Linked DNA regions of Macaca fascicularis. The protein of the gene in region 2 interacts with the protein of the main gene of each other region in a biochemical or structural test. Links are inferred from orthologs where the notes say so. Each region holds a gene or a part of one and is shown on either strand. Other genes may lie near its edges. The genes, in order: PECAM1 and PTPN6.

Region 1 (4,523 bases), on a different chromosome or scaffold from region 2:
GTAAAGCTTTCTGTACTTTGGTTTTTTTTTTTTTTTTTTTTGAGACGGAGTCTTGCTGTGTCACCCAGGCTGGAGTGCAATGGCCAGATCTCGGCTCACTGCAAGCTCCACCTCCCGGGTTCACGCCATTCTCCTGCCTCAGCCTCCCGAGTAGCTGGGACTACAGGCGCCCGCCACCTCGCCCGGCTAGTTTTTTTTTTGTATTTTTTATTAGAGACGGGGTTTCACCATGTTAGCCAGGATGGTCTCGATCTCCTGACCTCGTGATCCGCCCGTCTCGGCCTCCCAAAGTGCTGGGATTACAGGCTTGAGCCACCGCGCCCGGCCTGTACTTTGGTTTTTAAATCATGTGACTGTATTACCCTTTAACCTTTTTTTTTTTTTTTTTTTTTTGAGTTGGAGTCTTGCGCTGTTGCCCAGGCTGTGGCACAGTCTCAGCTCACTGCAACCTCCACCTCCAGGGTTCAAGTGATTCTCATGTCTCAGCCTCCCAAGTAGCTGGGACTACAGGCATGCGCCACCATACCCGGCTAATTTTTGTATTTTTAGTAGAGATGAGTTTTCACCATGTTGGCCAGACTGGTCTTGAACTCCTGACCTCAGGTGATCCACCCACCTCGGTCTCCCAAACTGCTGGGATTACAGGCTTGAGTCACCGTGCCCGACAGTATTACCTTTAAAATTTTAATTAAGAAATTGAATTTCTGTTCAGCTTTATGAAGTATTATATAACTGACATACAATAAGTTGCAAATGTTTAAAGTATACACTTAGAAAAGTGTTGACATGTGTATACCGATGAAACAACCTCTATAATCAAGGAAGCAGATACATCCACCACCCCCAAAAGGTTCCTGTGCCCTTTGTCTCCCTTGCCCTCTGCACTCTCCCCGCTGCAAGGATTGATCTGCTTTCTGATGAGTTTGCATGTTCTGGAATTTTGTAAAGATTCATACAGTATGTACCTTGTATTATTATTATCAGTATCTTTGGTGTGTCTTTTTTCTCTTTTTTTTTTTTTTTTTTTTGAGACGGAGTCTCTCTCTGTTGCCCAGGCTAGAGTACAATGGCACAATCTCAGCTCACTGCAACCTCCACCTTCCGGGTTCAAGCAATTCTCTGCCTCAGTCTCCCCAGTAGCTGGGATTACAGGCGCCTGCCACCACGCCTGGCTAATTTCCTTATTTTTAGTAGAGACAGGATTTCACCATCTTGACCAGGCTGATCTTGAACTCCTGACCTCGTGATCCATCTGCCTTGACCTCCCAAAGGGCTGGGATTACAAGCGTGAGCCACCGTGCCCAGCCTGGCCTGTCTTCTTTCGATCAATGTAATTATTCTGAGATTCCTCCATGTTGTCATGTTGGTGGATGTATCAATATTTCATTCCTTTTTACTGCTGAGTAGCAGTTCATTATATGAACACACCACAGTTTACTTATTTATTCATCTATTATTTTTTCTAATTTTTTTTTTTTTTTTTTTAGAGACAAGGTTTTTCTTGTTACCCAGGCTGGTATTGAACTCCTGGTCTCAAGCCATCCCCCCGCCTCAGCTTCCCCAAACCCTGGGATTACGACATGAGCTACTGCACCCAGCCTCTCCATTCACCTACTGATGGACGTTTAGGCTGTTTCCAATCTTACACAGTTACAGAAAAAGCTGCTATGAACAAACCTTTGTACGGACATATATTTTTATTTCTCTTGGGTAAATACCTAGGAATGAAGCAGCCAGATTATACAATAGGTGTATGTATGTTTAATATTTTAAGAAACTGTTTTCCCAACTGGTTATGCCATTTTGCATTCCCATCAGCAGTGCCTGAGTCCCAGTTGCTCCACACCCTCACCAACACTTGGCAGGCCTTTAATTTTAGCCATCCTAGTGGGGGGTGTAGTAATATCTTATTACGGTTTCAATATGCATTTTCTTATTGACTAACAATATTGAGCATGTTTTCACATGCTTATTTGTCATCTGTGTATCAGTTAGCTTTTTTTTTTTTTTTTTTTTTGAGACAGGGTCTTGCCCTGTTGCCCAGGCTAGAGTGCAGTGCCACAATCTCGGCTTGCTGCAACCTCTGCCTCCTGAGTTCAAGCAACTCTCCTTCCTCAGCCTCCCGAGTAGCTGGGATCACAGGCATGCACCACCATGCCCAGCTAATTTTTGTATTTTTAGTAGAGACGGAGTGTCACCATGTTTGCCAGGCTGGTCTCAAACTCCTGACCATAAGCAATCCGCCCACCTCAACCTCCCAAAGTGCTGAGATTACAGGTGTGAACCACTGCACCCAGCCAACATCTTATTTTTTTTCTTTTTTTTTTAGACAGGGTCTTACTCTGTTGCTTAGGCTGGAGTGCAGTGGCACAATCATGGCTCACTGCAGCCTCAAACTCCTGGGCTCAAGCTATCCTCCTGCCTCAGCCTCCCAAGTAGCTGGGACTATAGGTGTGCGCCACCACACACAGCTAATTTTTTACTTTTTGTAGAGACAGGGTCTTGCCCAGGCTGGTCTCCAGCTCCTTGTTTCAAAAGATCCTCCAGCCTCAGCCTCCCAAAGTGCTGGGATTATAGGCATGAGCCACTATGCCTGGCCTGGCCTTTTTCAATATAGTAAATTGAATGGGTTTTTATTTGTTTGTGGGCCTCTCCTTTCTCCCTGCTTCTTCCCCTTGACCTTGGTGGATTCCTTGATTGGGTGGGGGCAGAGATTCCCACACTGCTTTGGCTTCTTGTAACTGATCAAGTGACTGACTCCTACATAACCAAGAGACCCCACGAGTTCCCACCAGGCTTAACAAACTCACCCAGGACTCTGCTTGTCACATGGTGTTGTTCGCTTCTTCTCCTCAGCCAAGTGGAATTGAAGGAGGACAGACACACAGTCATTTCTACCTGCAGTGCTCCTGCCTTCAAATACCAGGTAAGTAACGCAGTTCCGAAACATAGCAACTCATTAACTGCACCAAAAAAAAAGCTGCCTGCTGGAGTAAACTTCAGGAAGTGGTTTTTCTGAGCAGCTGGGGGTGAGGTGGGGGGAGGAAGGTGGAGGCAGGTGGGCAACAGACATGTCAGAGGGCTACCAGCACCAGGCACAGGAGGCCAACCACCTATTTCATGACGATGGTGATGGGAAATGAGATTCACCGGCCATTCCATTTCCCCCACCTGTAGCTGCAGATCTCATTAGTCTTGGAGAGTTGAAGAGCCAGACTCAACAGCCCGCATCCACTGGGTTTGGGACACACCCCAGCCTGGAAGTGAACATGCACTAATGCGTAAATCAGAAGCCTGAGGTTCTTGTCTGTTCTCTGTAATTTAATAGCTTAAATGCTCTGAGGCTCAGGTTCCTCACCTATATAATGGGAATAATATGCCCATCTATCCATTGAATAGGCTTGTTAGGAAGATCAAACAAGAGCTAGCCTTTGAAAGCACGTTTAACCAACAGAGCACAATAAGAACATAGTAACAACAAAAAAAATTTTAAAAATAGCTGGGTACGGTGGTGCATGCCCGTGGTCCCAGCTACTTGTGAAGCTGAGGCAGGAGCAACGCTTGAGCCCAGGAGTTTGAGGCTACAGTGAGCCGCGATCACACCACTGTACTCTAGCCTGGGCAACAGGGCAAGACCCTGTCTCAAAAAGTAATAATAATTAATTAAAATTTTTTTTAAAAAACAATGGTTATGATTGAACAATAACAACAGTTGTTGGTCTGGTTTGGCTGGGCATGCCACATCTGAATCACTGCTCTGGAGCTCTGCTGACTCATGAACCCAAGGGCCAGCGCTCAGTGCCTTTTCTTCCACACCCACCATGTGCTGCCCTCACCACCCCAGTCTGGCCCCTCACAAAGGTGGGCAGCTGGGCAAAGGCAGGCAGGGACATTGTGGAGGAGTCTGTGCTATCCCATCCCCTGCAGGAGGCCTTCTCCAGTTACAACGGACATGGTTGTTTTGTTTTTGGGTTTTGGGGTTTTTTTTTTGAGACAGGTTCTTGTTCTGTTGCGCATGCTGGAGTACAGTGGCGTGATCACAGCTCACTGCAACCTCTGCCTCCCAGGTTCATGCCATCCTCCCACCTCAGCCTCTCGAGTAGCTGAAACTATAGGCATGCACCGCCACATCTGGCTAATTTTGGTAATTCTTGTAGAGACGGGATCTCGCCACATTGCCCAGGCTGGTCTCAAACTCCTGAGCTCAAGCAATCTGCACGCCTCGGCCTCCCAAAGTACTGGAATTATAGGCATGAGCCACTGCACCTGGCTGACATGGTTGTATTATGACTCATAACCATAGGCATTTTTGCCTTTGTAGACCTCTTCCTCCATAAAAAGAAATAAAAATTATGTTTTGAAACTGTACTGGTATAAATAAAAATATATTCACATTATAAATTTAAAAATTTCTTTTACCTAGACAGTATTTTTATTCTTCTGATTACTGTATCTTCTAGATCTAATGAAGAAGGACCTGACAGCAGATCATGCACACAACAGCCCAAGGGATTAGGGGAGCT
Region 2 (3,807 bases):
AGTGGGGGCCGCTCACATTGTCCAGTGGGGAGACGTGTAAGGTGCGGAGTTTGTATTCGGTCGTGTCATGCTCCCCGCAGTTGGTCACAGAGTAGGGCCCATAAACGCGCTGAGTGCCCACCTCGGGCCAGTATGTGACACATTTGTTCTGGAAAGGGAGGGTCGGGTGGGGATGAGGCACAGAGCAGGGCGCTGTGGCCCATCCCAGGTCCCGCTCTAGGTTCTGAGTGCCTGGCGCCAGCCCAAACGTTTGTTGGATGGATAGATGAGCTGGCAGAGAGGCAGGAGACCTGGGCTCTCGTCTCAGATCAGCCACCAACAGGTGGTGCGACCTGGCCAGCCGCTTTACTGGTACATCCATTTGTCATTCAACAAACATTGCCGAGGCAGGCGTTGTCCCCGAAGCCGTGCAAACCAGGCTGTAGTCACAGACACAGCTAACACCCAGTCTGTGCCCCTGTGCCTGGAGGAGCTCACAGAGACAAGTGACCGGGGAGACGCCGCGCTGAGGAGCGTGGCTGGGAACGAGGAAACTCGCCCTCTAGGTCCTGGAGAAAACAAGACCTGAATTCACAGAGAAGGCAGCGCTTCAGCTGTGTCTTCAAACACGAGGCATCTGCCGGGCGGAGACAGTGTGGAGACAGAGTCATTTCCTAGCAGAAAAGAGCTTGTGCAAAGAAAGGCTGGGAACCTGAAAGAGCCGCGGCTGCTGGGAGCGGTGAGCCTTCAAGAGAAGCGTGGGAGTCACAGGGAAACCACCAGGCCTTGAACGCCAGGCCTTCGAGTGTGACTTTATCCCAAAGGTGACCAGGAGCCATGGAAGAGATTTCAGAGGGGAAGGAACTCGACCCAGTTTGTCACGGATGGCATCACTTCAACGGCAGCACAGAGGGTGCTGTGTAAGGGGAGGCTGCAGAGTGAGGGGCAGACTCCACAGACATCTATGGGGCAGGGAGGACAGGAGGGGCCTGGATGCAGACAGGTGGGGAAGGTGTAGGAGGAAGGAGGACAGCCTAAAACCTGGGTCTGGAGCTCAGAAGAGCCCAGGGGTGCATGCAGGGATCTGGGGGTTGCATCGTGTAGTCGAGACTTTGTCACTAGCCCTCAGTTTCCCAACAAGGCTGGACCCTCACCCCCGAGATCCCTTTCTGCTCTGGCATCTGACGGTTCTTTGACTTAATGGTATGACCACAAGGACGGGGCACGGATGTGGGGATGGGGCGGGGTGCCCTACCCGGCCTTTCTCCACCTCTCGGGTGGTCATGACGATGACGCGGGTGTTCTCCTGCCACGCCATCTGCCAGAAGTCGTTGACCGTGGCCTCTAGACAGCCCTGGCTGGCGATGTAGGTCTTAGTGTTCTCATCAGGGCCTAGCAGCTGGTTCTGGACACAAGCGTGGAGAGACGCACCCCAAAACAGTGAGCCCCTCAGCCCAGCACAGGGCCTGAACCACTGCTCCCCTCACCCATGCAAGAAGCCAGCTTTGGCTTTGCCCAGGTGTCTCTGGATCTAGGGTCCCCCACCAGACAGGGAATTCCCAGGGCCCAGCCTCTCCTCCCACATGACCCACACCACTGACCTTGATGTAGTTGGCATTGATATAGTCGGACCCCGGGATGTTACTGTCACGTCCCTGCAGGATCACTCGGCTGTGGTCAACTGGGAGTGGGTGGAGAGGAGGCGAGATGGCCTGGGTCAGCCAGGGACTCACCACACCTGTGTCAGACCCTCCTGAGCTAACAGGCCGTTCTGGTCTCAGAAGCCATGAGGCTTGCGGGGGACTGTGGGCAGCAGGGGTGGGGGATCATCTGTACGGAGGGAGTGAGGGGATTCACAAGAAGGAGGTTAGGAGCAAGGGGCAGCCTGCCTGCTGATGGTGGGGAGGCACTTCTGGGAGGAGTAGAGGCCTTTTGGAGAAGGGGTGTGGGGAGATGGCCCCTCCTGGAGTGGAGGGTGGAGACCTGTGAGATAGGGGCGGCGGCTGGAGCGGGGCGGTCTCCTGGGTGAATGGGGCAGGGGCGGCGGTTGGGGCGGAGCAGTCTCCTGGGTGAATGGGGCAGGGGCAGCGGCTGTAGCAGGGGAGGTCTCCTGGGTGAATGGGGCAGGGGCAGTGGCTCGGGTGGGGCGGTCTCCTGGGTGAATGGGGCAGGGGCGGCGGCTGGGGCGGGGCAGTCTCCTGGGTGAATGGGGCAGGGGCAGCGGCTGCAGCAGGGGCGGTCTCCTGGGTGAATGGGGCAGGGGCAGTGGCTGGGGTGGGGCGGTCTCCTGGGTGAATGGGGCAGGCTGGGTGCTCACAGGGCAGAATGTTCTTATAGCGGTTCTTGCCCTTGTTCTCTGGCCGCTGCCCTTCCAGACGCTGGTGCAAGTTCTTCACCTCCTGCTTCTGCAAACTCTGAGATGTGGGTGAGGAAATGAGCATCACCTCCCAGAGAGAGCACCCATCAGGGGAGCTCACGTGGGGTGGGTCAGGAGCAGAGGTGGGCAAGGGGAGGAAGGTGTCCGCCTGGGGCCCCACGCGGCCGCCACCGCCTCAGCTGCCCCAGCCCTGCCGGTTCCCCACCATGCACCTCAAACTCCTCCCAGAAGCCAGCCTTGGCTGTATCCTCGGACTCCTTCTTCTTGTTCAGTTCCAAGACTCGGTTCTCAATGTCAGCCGCATTCACCCTCGTGGCGTAGTACGGCTGGGATAGGGGAGAGCGAGAAGTCAGCAACTCAGAGGTCTCAGAAGCTCACACCTGGGGGACAGCTCAGGGGAAGGGAGGAAGCAGCTGGGTCCCCGCCTGACCTGCCGCAGGTAGACAAAGGCACCTGAGGCCTCCTCAATCCCCGTCTTCTTGAAGTGCTCCACCAGGTCCGTGAGGCTGTCGAAGGTCTCTGAACCACCCACTGTGTAGCGTCCACCCTGGAGGGAGCCAAATAAGGCCACTCACAGGGCTCGAGTCTCCCTCCCTGGGCCCCAGCCTTGAATTCAAGCCCAGGCAGACCCTCCCTGCCACCCACACTGCGGTCACAGACAGGAGCCTCAGCAGAGGCTCCCCCACCACCTGGCTGCCTTACCTCACACATGACCTTGATGTGGGTGACCCTGAGCGGGGAGCCTGGGCCAGCCTTGGGCTGGTCACTAAGCACAGATAGCACAAAATCTCCAGGCTGGCTGAGACTCTCACGCACAAGAAATGTCCAGGGCTCGCCCTTGGCCTGCAGCAGCGTCTCTGCCTGCCCTCCAGACATGTGGCCATGGTACCACCTACAGAAGGCAGCGTCAGGGAAGGTGAGACCCAGGCCACAGGGGAAGGCGCTGAGCAAAGATATTCACAGAGAGGGGCAGGAAATCAAGCACCTACTGTGGCCAGGCACTGCGCTAGATGGTTCCAAATCCACCATCGTATTGATGCCTCTCACAAACATGCTGAGGGCTGGGTATGATATTACCCCCATTTTATAGATGAGGAAACTGACGCTGAGCTGTTACTCACTGGCCTAGGGCCCCTGATGGACTCCAAGGCAAGCCTCCAGAGCTCTGTTGCCCAGGCTGGAGTGCAGGGGCACGGTTATTGCTCTCTGCAGCCTTGACCTCCCAGGCTCAAGCTATCTTAGCCCCCAGAATTCTGACCAGGCTTTGAACCCAGAGACCACCTCTGAAAGGCAGAAGGGCTGGCAATATTCCAAATATTTGGAAGAGGGAAACTAAGGAAGAGTCTCCATGAAGGATCAGGCTGTGCCCCGGCAGAGACCAGAGGCAAAGAGAAACACAGACCAAGGCCACACCACAGGGAGTGGTGGGAGATGGACAGAGAGACACAAGT

What was found.
Region 1: the proteins of PTPN6 (region 2) and PECAM1 form a complex in vitro, tested with the Homo sapiens proteins (2 studies listed by BioGRID, with this or other methods). The link is inferred for Macaca fascicularis from reciprocal best matches to the Homo sapiens genes PTPN6 and PECAM1.

The regions. Positions count from the first base shown.
Region 1 is NC_088390.1:71,000,461-71,004,983, forward strand, and holds the start of PECAM1 (platelet endothelial cell adhesion molecule), read right to left. Parts: upstream 2,966-4,523; 5' UTR 2,811-2,965; intron 1-2,810. UniProt on the Homo sapiens protein: Cell adhesion molecule which is required for leukocyte transendothelial migration (TEM) under most inflammatory conditions.
Region 2 is NC_088385.1:7,893,972-7,897,778, reverse strand, and holds part of PTPN6 (tyrosine-protein phosphatase non-receptor type 6), read right to left. Parts: intron 3,249-3,807; coding exon 3,059-3,248; intron 2,904-3,058; coding exon 2,787-2,903; intron 2,683-2,786; coding exon 2,569-2,682; intron 2,394-2,568; coding exon 2,297-2,393; intron 1,661-2,296; coding exon 1,581-1,660; intron 1,385-1,580; coding exon 1,235-1,384; intron 896-1,234; coding exon of another isoform or gene 875-895; exon of another isoform or gene 692-874; intron 149-691; coding exon 17-148; intron 1-16. UniProt on the Homo sapiens protein: Tyrosine phosphatase enzyme that plays important roles in controlling immune signaling pathways and fundamental physiological processes such as hematopoiesis.